Oreochromis niloticus: one gene and its partner. The protein of the gene in region 2 purifies or fractionates together with the protein of the main gene of each other region. This does not show direct contact. Links are inferred from orthologs where the notes say so. Each region holds a gene or a part of one and is shown on either strand. Other genes may lie near its edges.

Region 1 (6,378 bases), on a different chromosome or scaffold from region 2:
TAGGTGGCGCTCTAGAGCCATTTCCCAATGCTGATATGTAAAACCATTGAAATACAAAATTTTTCACCAGGCCTGGCATGTGTGCAAAATTTCATGAGTTTTCGAGCATGTTAAAGCCCTCAAAAAGGCAATTCATTTCAATGAAAAATAATAATAATAATAATAATAATTAAAGCTGCAAGCAGCGTTATGAGGGCCCTCGCACCCCGGCACGTCGGGCCACACCCAACACCTACAACCAGCACGTCCGATCTGATGTCACATTGATGGAATTCATGCCTAGAACCACCAGCTAACGATTCATCTCATTCAATCATTATTATAGTCGTCCCACTAGGTGGCGCTCTAACCATTACTGACAAATGGGATAACAAACATTTCCGACCTTGAGTCTCATCACGCCTGCGAACTTTGGGAGAGATTGGACATTGTGTTTTTGAGTGACAGCAGATTACTGCTTTTTGGCGAGTGATTGAAACTCCACGTGCCGCCATGGCCACCCCGTTTCCCTGAACGTAAAAAGCTTCGCAATTTAACATCACAAAGGTCTTTAGATTCCACACACAGGAGATCGGGTTAATCTGATGAAATCCCTTGGAGGAGTTCGTCAAAGTATGAGGCCTGAAAAGAGGCGAAAAAGTGGCTAAAATTACACCTTAATTTAAAAATGGCTGACTTCCTGTTGGATTTGGGATATTGCTCCAAGAGACTTTTTTGTACATCTTGATATCCTCCATAAGCTTACCAGGTTTCAGACTTATAAATAAAACACAGAGCAGGGGCTGATGTTTTGAAATTTTGTAGGGGGCGCTGTGGAGCCATTTTGCACTATTCAAGGAAAATGATCACATAACAACAAAGCCCTCATCACATTGGAGGTTTGGGCCAAATTCCAAGACTTTTTAAAATTTCCAAGCCCCTCAAAAGCCACTTCGTCTTTCATGGTGAACCGCGTTGCCACCAGGGTGCGCCGTTCAGTTTAAAGTCACAATTTTCGCACAGAAGCATCATGAAGGACTGATGGTGATACTCACCGCTTTTCAGGTGGCCACGATGAACCTGTGAAAATCAGTAAAACAAAATGAAAGACATGACATTTCCTGGTGCCACTAGGTGGCGCTCTACGTATTCCTGACAATGGGCACATCAATCTGTTCAGGGCGGGTCTGACATCATGTCTGTAAAATCTGGTACTGATCAGATTGGATTTCATTGACTTACACTAATTTGTTTCTTCATGGCGAGACCTCAATGTTCGCCATGCTGCTGGGGTCACACCCTTCAGCGAAAACTCACAGTTTTCTCTGTAACCCAAGACCAACTCCTTAAGGCTTTCCTGGAGAAATTTGAGGCTGCAGATGTCACCCATTACAATACTGTACCCCAAAGTGTAAAACATGACATTTCCTGTTCCCACTAGGTGGCGCTCTCCCTGATGTCAAATATGGCAGTTGAAATATGTTCAGGGGTGGAGCCTTATCATATGTGTCCACTTTGGTCAAGGTCGGACAATGTATGACAGAAAGAGAGGCAATAAGATTTTCATGGCGAGTCATCGAAATTCGCCGTGGCGCCACGGCCTCACCGTATCCCGAAAACTCAAAAGCTCCGCAATTTAACATGGCCCAGGTGTGTAGTTGACACTGACCAAATATGAAGCTTGTACGATGAAATTCCAATGAGGAGTTCGCAAAAGTTCGAGGCATGGAAATGGCAAAATTAGAGCCAAAATGTCACGTTCACTTCCAAATGGCGGACTTCCTGTTGGGTTTGCGTCAATGGTCCCACAGACTTTTTTGTTCGTCTTGGCATGATACACATGTGTGCCAAATTTCATACATGTAGCTAAAACGATGTGTTTGTAGGGCTGCATTTAACAAGGCATAGGTGGCGCTACAGAGCCATTTCCCAGTGCTCATATGTAAAACCATTAAAATACAAAATTTTTCACCAGACCTGGCATGTGTGCAAAATTCCAAGAGTTTTCGAGCATGTTAAAGCCCTCAAAAAGGCCCTTCTTTTGCCTGAATAATAATAATAATAATAATAATAATAATAATAAGAAACGGAGCAGATACAATAGGGCCTTCGCACTCTCAGTGCTCGGGCCCTAATAATAATAAACAGAGCAGATACAATAGGGCCTTCGCACTCTCGGTGCTCGGGCCCTAATAATAATAATAATGAATGCATTTTATTTAAGATATCGTAGTAATGTGTTGTTAACAGCAGGTGGCGGAACATGCGCGAAACTAACAAACAAATCCGAAGAAGAAGAAGAAGAAGTGTGACGTCGTAGTCCTGCGCCGGCACGTGTACACGTGCTGTTTTCATAGGCAGAGGGGTGTTTTGAGTGTGTGACATATCTGTGTGTTAAGGTCCGGCGTAAAAGTAAAGCAGCAAATATGGGGAAGAAACTTAAGGTCGGAAAGACCCGGAAAGATAAATTCTACCACCTGGCCAAAGAAACAGGTAGAGTACCGGAAAACAACACGAGCTCGAGACTGTCGTGATATTAGCATTAGCAGGCTGAAGCTCCGATCGATATAAAGTTGTGGGTTGCAGACTTTTGGCAATCTTTTAAATCTCCTTTTTTTGTGTAATTTTTAGGTTATCGCTCTCGTTCCTCCTTCAAATTGATCCAGCTTAACCGTAAGTTCCAGTTTCTGCAGAAAGCCCGAGCTCTGGTGGATCTGTGCGCTGCACCTGGAGGGTGGTAAGCATCCCGTCACCAGACATGCCGTCGTGTGTGGTAACAAAAGGAAAAGAAGTAAACCCTCTGGGGGGAAGCTGGCCAGTAGACCACTTTGCAGTCTTTGGTCATTCGCTTCTGTCACATGTGAACGGTCACCAAAGGTCTTTGTTATAACAAGTGGCAGCTGAGTCAGGGACAGAGAGAAGAGAAAAGAGCGACCACGTTGACAGAAGTGTCAGGGGGAGAAAGTCAGTGAAGAGGAGCTGACTGGTGATTGTACAGTTGCAGTTTGTGTAAAGTTGCATTAACTTAGGACCGTGTGTGACCAAGCTTGACCTCCTCTCTAGTGAGCACGACTCTGGCTCACTATAATCACAGACTTTCTTTTGCTGTGATTACAAGATAAAATCCACGAGCCTTACAGAAATGACAATACGGTACAATATGTAATGACGGAAGTGAAAAACGGATAAATGAGTGATTTGTACTATGCAAAATAATTAAAGTTGAATTCAAAATCTCCTTTTCCAGGTTGCAGGTAGCGTCTAAGTTTATGCCTGTTTCAAGTCTGATTATCGGTGAGTACAAATTTCTCCAATGATAAATGGCTCTGTTTCTGTTATGCTTCTAAAGCAGCTGTAATGCGTGTGGCAATACTTCCCCGTAAGAGTGGTTTCTTCTTCTCAGGTGTTGACTTGGTCCCCATTAAACCCATCCCCAACGTGGTGACACTTCAAGAAGACATCACCACTGAGAAATGCAGACAGGTGAGAAAGCTGCTGCTGTTCACAGCATCACTGAAGAAACATAAAATCAGAGATGATATTTCAACAGTAGAGATGTGGACAGCCAACGCTGTGTTTGTGACATGGTTTTAACTGATGAGACACTCTTTCCGTTGTACAGGCTCTCAGAAAGGAGCTTCAGACTTGGAAAGTGGATGTTGTGTTAAACGATGGAGCCCCAAATGTGGGAGCTAACTGGCAGCACGATGCCTTTTCCCAAGGTGAGTCAAGAGAAAAAAACGTCTAGAGATCAGACTGCAGTAAAACAGCATTCGCACAATATGTCCAAAAATTATTTAATTTGGTTGATAAGGATTGTAAGGGGTTCTTTTTTGATACATCCTTACCACTCTTTGATTTTGTGTCTCTGTTGTGCCTAAACTACTTAAGTTCATGTCCATTTTCCACAGTATTTGGTATTTAAATCTAATTTTGAAATCCTCCCTTTTTCACCCACAGCTCACCTGACTCTCATGGCTCTGAAGTTGGCCTGTGAGTTTCTTACCAAAGGAGGCACCTTTGTCACCAAGGTGTTTCGTTCCAAAGACTACCAGCCTCTGCTCTGGATCTTCCAGCAGTTCTTCAAGAAGGTGCAGGCCACCAAACCGCAGGCATCCAGGAATGAGTCTGCTGAGATCTTTGTCATCTGTCAGGGTCGGTGTCATTATTTCATTTGCTTTTTGAAGACAATAAATAATGACCTTAATTTTGACCTTGTTCTTGACTAAACCTCACCTAAACCTCCCCCATTGTCATCATCAGGTTTTGTTGCCCCGGACAAAATCGACAGCAAGTTCTTTGACCCCAAGTATGCATTCAAAGAGGTGGAGGTGCAGGCCAAAACTGTGAAGGAGCTGATCCCTGTAAAGAAGCCAAAGGCATGTATACTGACAAGTGTTTGGTCACAATAAGCATGTCAGATCTGGCTGTGATTGCCTGGTATGAAATTTTTAGCTTTTAAACACTTTGTTTTATTTATCAGTCACAAGGTTTAAGACTTACTTTAAGTCACATTTGAGCCCAGAAATGAACCATCAGTGATGAAGCAGCTCTTCTTCTGTTGCAGGCGGAGGGATATACAGATGGAGATCTGACGCTCTACCACAGTTTCACGGTGACCGATTTTCTGAAAGCTGAGAACCCAGTCGACTTTCTGGGAAAAGCCAGTGAGGTGAGCTTTTTTTTGTTTGTGTGTGTGTTTGGGGGGGGGGGGGACAGTCCTGTTAAGAATAAGAAGAAAACTCGTGCTTTTCTTGCTCTGTCTCATTCAGATCACCTTCAACAATCCTGATCTGGAGTTTCACTCAGCAACCAGCAATGAAATAAAGGAGTGTTGTCGTGACATCAAAGTCCTGGGCCGCAAAGAACTCCGGTGAGCTTTTCCATCTCTCACTCGCCATGTTTGTGCTTTAGTAAGCTGCTGCTACTTTACTGTGCTTGCACATCACATACATCAGATGGTGTGAGAACGTGTTGTAGCATGAAGTGCTGTTAACACGGGCCGTGTTTGCATGTCTTTTCTCACGTTTGCAGCCTGCTGCTGAACTGGAGGTCCAAGCTGAGGAGATACCTAGCTAAGAAACTGAAAGATGAGGCTAAGCAGCTCGACCAGGAGATCAGGTTTAAAAAAAAAAAAGAAAAAGAAAAGAAAAAGCAATTTAAATATTAAATCTTTGTTAAAGTGTGTCACACATAAATCATCTCTACATTGTTTTTAGCTTAAGCTCGGATGAAGAAAGGAGCGATTCAGAGGAAGAAGCAGGAAAGAAGGAGGATGAAGAGGAGGAGGGTGAGGACAACGAGGAGGAAGAAATGGTGAAAAAGCTGACAGAGCTGAAAGCTGAGGAGGTGGCTGAGCTCAAACGGTATGAACCGCTTTAGTTTTGTGTTTTCGGTGAGATTAAATCCTCATCTTTCCTACTTTGTCTTGATAGGTGCATCTCGCCTAAAGAGAAGCAACACTTTACTTTTAGTTTCACCTCTCTTAGCTTTTACCACGGATGCAGTTGTAGGGGCAAACCAAGAAACTCTCTTGCTGATTTGGCAGGAAGAAGAGGAAACTGCTGAAGGAGCAGCGGAAGCAGAGAGAGAGAGTGGAGCTGAAGATGGATCTACCGGGTGTGTCCATCGCCTCCACTGAGGACTCGTCCTTGTTCTCTCTCGTCTCCATCAAGAAGAAAAAGGTAAACGTCACACGCTGCTTCCCAAAAGCACCAAAACTCAAGATCAGAATACCGCTGAGTTCAAGTACCACGAGCTTTATCACTGAGAAGTGGCTTCATGTTAATTTCTTGGTCCCTCAGGTGCTTGCTGACATATCAAAGGGGGACATGCAGACAGCGGACACTCTGGTAGATGAAGACGATGATTTTCACCTCTCCGATGAAGATGGCGATGATGCAGATAAAATGTCACTGGCATCTGATTTGGATGACGAGGATCTGGAAGAGGTGGAACGGCGACAAAAGGAGCTGGAAAAGAAAGCACCAAAAAAGAAGTAAGAGGCCATTCAGAGCAAAAGCACTCTGAGGTACTGGTGATGTGGTGCCTGGCTCTGTAGGAGTTCTCTTTAGAAAGGTGTTAAGCACTGAATAGCATGTATGCATGTTCAGTGAGTACAAATGATTATTTTTTTTTTTTTAGCAGAGTTGGTCTCAAACTAGACTGATTTACTAGAATTGTTATTGTCATTTCACAAGGTTGATGCTTACTGTTTTTCCCTGGAAGCTTAAGTCTGTTTATTTATTTTTTTACCAGAAAGAATGCCCAACCTTTCTAGAAGAGCTTCAAGTTCACGATTCATTTCTGTGGTTTTTCAGAGTAAAGTTTACCAACCAAGAGGAGGAGGAGGAGGATGAAGAGCAGGATGGTGGCTTGGTGGTGGAGCTAGAGGGAAAA
Region 2 (5,816 bases):
TACACAGAAAACACAATATAGAAACCTGGAGAAACCCCGGGACTTGGAAACACGAGAAGTGAAGCAGTGGATGATGAGCAGACGATCCGACAAGAACAAAGGAAAATACACACAATAAAGACAGAGGGTAACGAAGGTGACAGAAGGGAGACACAGCTGAACCTAATCTGACACATAAGACAAAGAGGAAGCAAAGCGGCACAGGCGGTTGACTGGTTGGCGGTGTGGTGTGTTGCGGCAGCCGCAAGGCAGTTGAGCGGCTGGCGGTATGGCGTGGTAGCTGTAGGCGGTTGAGCGTTTGGTGGAGCAGTGTGGCAGCTATAGGCGCTTGAGCAGTTGGCGGCGCAGCAGCTGCAGCCGGTTGAGCGATTGGTGGCATGGCGTGGCAGCTGCAGTCAGTTGGTGGCGTGATGTGGTGTGGCATCCGCAGGTAGTTGAGTGGTTGGCTTCGCGGGAGCCGCAAGTGGTTAAGCGGTTGACGGCATGGCGTGGCAGCCACAGTCTGTTGGCAGTGTAGTGTGACGTGGCAGCCGCAGGCGGTTGAGCGGTTGGCAGCGTGGCGTGGCAGCCGCATGCGGTTGAGTGGTTGAGCGGTTGGTGGCGTGGCGTGGCGTGGCAGTCGCAGGCGGTTGAGCGGTTGAGCAGTTGGTGGCGTGGCATGGCGTGGCGTGGCGTGGCGTGGAAGCTGCAGGCGGTTGAGTGGGAGCGGTTGAGCAGTTGGTGGCGTTGCGTGGCGTGGCGTGGCGTGGCGTGGCAGCTGCAGGCGGTTGAGTGGTGGCTAACCTGATTCTCCTGAGTGTACAACAGACAAGGAAGGTGGCTGGACGGGCTCACCTGAGCGAGGAACAAGAGAAAACACACACAAAGACAGAGGGTAACAAAGGAATACGAGACAAAAGGGAGACACAGCTGAACTTAATCTGGCACATGAGACAGGGAGGAAGCAAAGCAGAATACTCTAACACAGGTGTGGGGATGTCAAAGTAAAGCAGGAAATACACAAATATAGGAACCAGGATAACTAGACATAATACAGAACACAGGGGAGGCACATTAACAAAACCTAAAGCCTAGGAACTAAGAATATAAAACAAGCAGAAAACAATAAAGAGAACCAAAACCATGAATAACAATAATCAAGGAATATAAATTAAACAAACACAAAACACAGGGTCACAGACCCAGTACTGTGACAACTTTTAATGAAGATGCTAGTTGTGGAGCTGCAAGGTGACTCAGAGTCGAGGTTCTGATGTAATCTGATGTTCTGCTGCTTAGCTGAGACACCAGGGTCTCCCTTCTCTTTTTCTAAGGTTAGACACCCTCCACACATGTAATTTAACAAATGCAGTGCTCAAAAACAGCAGGACAATTTTCATGTATGCTAACATAAATTAGCCCTCAATACATTTTCATTGGGTAACACAGTGTCTAACTGAAACACAGGAATGACTGCTGATAATGGACACTTTTATGCCTATGTATAGATAATCCATTAAAATCATGAATGATATACTATGAATGACTCCATTAATTTTCATTTACACCATTTCTTGTCAATTCAATGTAATTTCTATAGAAAATAAAAAAAATTTTTTATATAAAACAAGAACATTATAGAACCTCAGGTGGGTTTTTTGTTTTGTTTAAAAACACCTTTAGATTTTTTAATTTTGGAAATGTATTTATTATTAAAGGCAGATCATTTTTGTATACAGTGATGAGAAAAAGTCCATGTGCCACTTCTCATTTCTTTATATTTTGCTTGAAAAACAGGAAATTGGCAGAGCGATTTATTGAAGCATGTGCAAATATATATAAATACATGTATATACAGCATATAAGAGCAAAGATTGAGTTTGTGCTCCATTTTCAATCCATTTTTTCTATCCAGGTATGCTTTTACTGAAATGACAGTATGTTTGGTTTCATTGTCATGCTGAAAAATGAAGATGTTGCCAATTGGACAATTTCTAGATGGTGTTGCATGGTGGATCTGTATCTGATGCCACTGAGGTCACAATTCATCACTTTTGACAAGATCTCCAAGACCACTGGATGAAATGCAGCGCCAAACCATGACGGAGCCTCCACTGCGTTTTACAAATAACTGTAGACACTCACTGTCCTGCCTGCATATTGATGACAATCTGAACCAAAAATGTCATATTTGAATTCATCACTCCATCAGATCTGCTGCCACTGATTTTGAGTCTAGTTCTTGTGTAATTTGGCATACTTCAGCCTTTTCTCCCCGCTTCCCTTCCTTAAGAACAGCTTCTTGACAGCCACCCTCCCACTGAGACCATTTCTGGTGATGCTTCAGTGAACACTAAATGGATCACCTGAAGGGCCAGATCCATCTCTCGGGTCCAGTATCAGGTCTTTGTGGATTTTTCTTCCTGTCTCTTGAGGACATGACTTTCAGATACAGTCGCTGTTACGCAAAGAAATGAAACGACAGCGCTCTCCTGTGGTCACGTGTCAAACTGCAGCTCGACGACTTTGACCCGGAAGCAGTTTCGTGTGTTTTTCCTGCCTCACACGTGGGGTTTTCAGGCAGCACTGAGCAACATGGCAGCGTGCAGTGTAGAGGAGTTGTTGGCTAAAGCTGAGGCGCAAGAGGCGGAAACCCTGAAAAGCATATCAGTCCAGAAAGAGCTGGACCTGGAGTTTGACATCGGGAACCTGCTGGCGTGTGACAAAAACCGCATCGAGCCTCGCGACCTCCGGGAGAAGAGCAAAGAGGACTTTCTGCGTGCTCTCGCTCGCGACAACACGCAGCTTCTCATCAACGAAATATGGAAACAGCCCACGGAGAGGGTCGAGGAGGCGATAGTGGCCAAACTGCCGGAGCCGACGACCCGGCTGCCCAGAGAGAAGCTACCACCGAAACCCAGACCTCCAACAAAATGGGAGCAGTTCGCCAAGCTGAAGGGCATAAAGAAGAAGAAGAAGACCAACCTGGTGTGGGATGAAACCGCAAAGGAGTGGAAGAGGCGCTGGGGCTACAAGAGGGCCGGCGATGACACCAAAGAGTGGCTGATCGAGGTCCCCGAGAGCGCAGACCCGAATGAGGACCAGTTCGCCAAACGCGTCAAAGCCAAGAAGGAGAGGGTGGCCAAAAACGAGCTCAACAGGCTGAAAAACATCGCCAGATCGCAGAAAGTCAAGATCCCTGCTGTAACCCTGACCCCCAAAGCCAGCCAGTCCAAAGATGAGCTGGCCAGAGCCGAAAGTGTGGCCAAAACCTCCACAGCATCCTTGGGGAGGTTTCAGGACCGCCTGCCCAAGGAGAACCCAGCAAAGAAGGGCAAGAAGAGGAAATTCGAGCCCCTCATTGGCAACTTTTCTAATGAAAAGCAGAAGCAGCTGGAGCTCCTGAAAGTCATGGACACTAAGAAGCCCAAGTTGGACATCACCAAAGCTGTGAATAAACAGATGAGGGAGGAGGACAGAGAGGAGGCTGCTGCCAAACACAAGAAGGCAGCAGGGAAGAAGGGACGTAAAGGCAGCAGCATGGGTGGAAAGGCCAGAGGAAAAGGTGGGAAAGGAAAAGCAGCAGGAGGGGGAGGAGGGAAGAGAAGAGGCAAACCTGGGAAGCGCTGAGGACTCTTGTGTCTTCCTGTGTGTGGGTGTGTGTGTGCCTGCCTTGGCATCAAAGTGTTGGACATTCATGATGCAATATGAACTGATCACCTGGTTTACCTGTGGCCCACGGGTGGGATGCTCCCTCCATCTATGTAAACTATGTTTACTGTAAATTTTGACCCCAGCAACCATGATGTTTCTTTTCGATATATGTGTAATATTCATGAAAAAAATTCACAAATATACTTTAATATTACAGCCAAGTAGAACACGAGTGACTTGTTTTTCTGTCTTTAATTATTGCAGAAGTTATTTTTTAGTTCTGTGTGATTAAGGCTAATTTTGTTACCCTTTACATATTACTTTTTAAACTCTATATATACATTCAAAAATATTTGACTTCTAATTTTTAATTTCATTAAGTTTATATGAGTTACATAGTTTTAACGACAAAGTTTAATGTAGTTTATGTAACTTTGGGGAAAGACTTTAATAGTACTAATAAACCCAGAGTGTTTGTGCAAAACAAATTGGGATTATAAGCATTATTTGATATTTTAAATTAACTTACAATTTAAAAAAAAAAACATTCTTTAAATTGGGCTCAGGGACCCACATTTGTCTGTAGTCAGGAGGTCAAGAAATAATTTCCTATAAATCATAAAGGTTTGCTGCTGAATGATTAAAAAGTGTTACTCAAATGAAGATTTTCACGTGATTGTGGCTAATCATGTCAAACTAATGAGCTCACTCTTTTCTGTCAGGGTGCATCAACGTTCCTTTGGAAGCTTCTTTCTCCGATTGAAAGAAGGAAAAAAAAAAGTGCCATCCATAGGTCAAAAATTCAGGTTATCAACTTGGTAACTTAAAATAACTTGAAGTTATTAACTTTAAATTTTGAGATATGGATGACAGAAAAAGTTGTTTTTTCATTGTTAGAAACAAGCTTCCATATGTTCCCACTGCTGCTTATAGCTTTGTTTATTAGCCAATTAGACTGTATGGACAAAAGTCTATCTGGCATCTGTCTTTACAAACATTTTTGAAAGAGTCGGTCGTTCCCTGAATTAAACCGTGGTTCTGTAGTAGGAGTGCAATGAGTTCATTTAAAGTGGAAGTGTTTAGGAACCACAGGAACTCTATGTTAAGGTGGCTGAGGTGCTGTGCTGACTCAATAACAGCCTCCAACCTTCCTCTGGCATTAACATCCGCAGAAAAACTGCAGTGGCAGCTGCTGCAGCTTTGCGCTTGTAGTGTAAGTATTACAAGGGTGTTAAAATCCACACCATACTTTTATACACTTATCCACAAATTAGTTCTGATTTATTAGAATTAGTTTGCGGACCATTTCACCAACACAGCAGCAAAGTAGTACATGCATGTTCATCATTATTTCAATTTATTGTAAAAATAATGGAGTTAATAGGTGAATTTTCTGCTCCTGGATATGACGATATATGCATGCCAGAATATGAGACTGCATAAAAAGCCATGCAGTAGCTAAGAAAAACTCAGCCAAGGTTGGTGATGTGCAACAATACCTCTTATGGTATATTTAATAATGTGTTTGTGTGTATTTAGTAATATAAGGTGTATTTTCTGAGAGAATATGGGGGGAAAAACTGGTGCCGTACATTTTGGCTAGTTAAAAATGTAGCCTACAATGCCCAATGCTCCCAGGGATATTTAATGGAAACATGCAAACAGATTTTTTATACATACTTGTTAACTAATTTACATGATGGTCTCAGGGAATAGCTTCGAAGCTTCCCATTCATATTAAATGAGGCTGGTTAACTGCAGCAACAAGCTCCAGCCAGTAAATGCATGTCAGCATCAGATCAGATGTATTATTCATGTCACAGCAGAGAAGTTTTTATGCTCAGAATATTTTTTTAAGCTGTCGCAGATTGTCTTTACAGACTCTGAGCTGTTCAGTGTTCATCAGTTTTCTTCTTCCGAGAACTAAGCATCAGATCGGATTTCTTAGAAGCTTAGCTGTGGTTTTTTTGGTTATGTAAGGGCTTCGCTTTGGCCTTGATGTCTAGACTGGAGCCATCGCTCTGAATTAGGAGCAGTGTATAGTGTAACAGATATCTCACAAAGCCAGAATTTGCAACTTAAGTACATTTAAACACAACACAAAGCAAACTGTGAGTGGGATTTTTCTCTCATCCAGTTGAGCACGTCTTTCTTTTGTGGTGGTATTGAGGTGTGTATTTCCA

The links. The genes of interacting proteins can lie anywhere in the genome.
Region 1: the proteins of rrs1 (region 2) and ftsj3 purify together in Homo sapiens (affinity purification with mass spectrometry; 3 studies listed by BioGRID and IntAct, counting the BioPlex papers as one, with this or other methods). This does not show direct contact. The link is inferred for Oreochromis niloticus from reciprocal best matches to the Homo sapiens genes RRS1 and FTSJ3.

The regions. Positions count from the first base shown.
Region 1 is NC_031986.2:45,584,328-45,590,705, forward strand, and holds the start of ftsj3 (pre-rRNA 2'-O-ribose RNA methyltransferase FTSJ3), read left to right. Parts: upstream 1-2,263; 5' UTR 2,264-2,405; coding exon 2,406-2,472; intron 2,473-2,610; coding exon 2,611-2,716; intron 2,717-3,226; coding exon 3,227-3,273; intron 3,274-3,382; coding exon 3,383-3,462; intron 3,463-3,601; coding exon 3,602-3,701; intron 3,702-3,939; coding exon 3,940-4,134; intron 4,135-4,242; coding exon 4,243-4,358; intron 4,359-4,546; coding exon 4,547-4,651; intron 4,652-4,751; coding exon 4,752-4,852; intron 4,853-5,013; coding exon 5,014-5,100; intron 5,101-5,198; coding exon 5,199-5,345; intron 5,346-5,527; coding exon 5,528-5,663; intron 5,664-5,783; coding exon 5,784-5,977; intron 5,978-6,299; coding exon 6,300-6,378.
Region 2 is NC_031974.2:19,371,900-19,377,715, forward strand, and holds rrs1 (ribosome biogenesis regulatory protein homolog), read left to right. Parts: upstream 1-2,540; 5' UTR 2,541-2,574; coding exon 2,575-3,609; 3' UTR 3,610-3,865; downstream 3,866-5,816. UniProt on the Homo sapiens protein: Involved in ribosomal large subunit assembly. May regulate the localization of the 5S RNP/5S ribonucleoprotein particle to the nucleolus.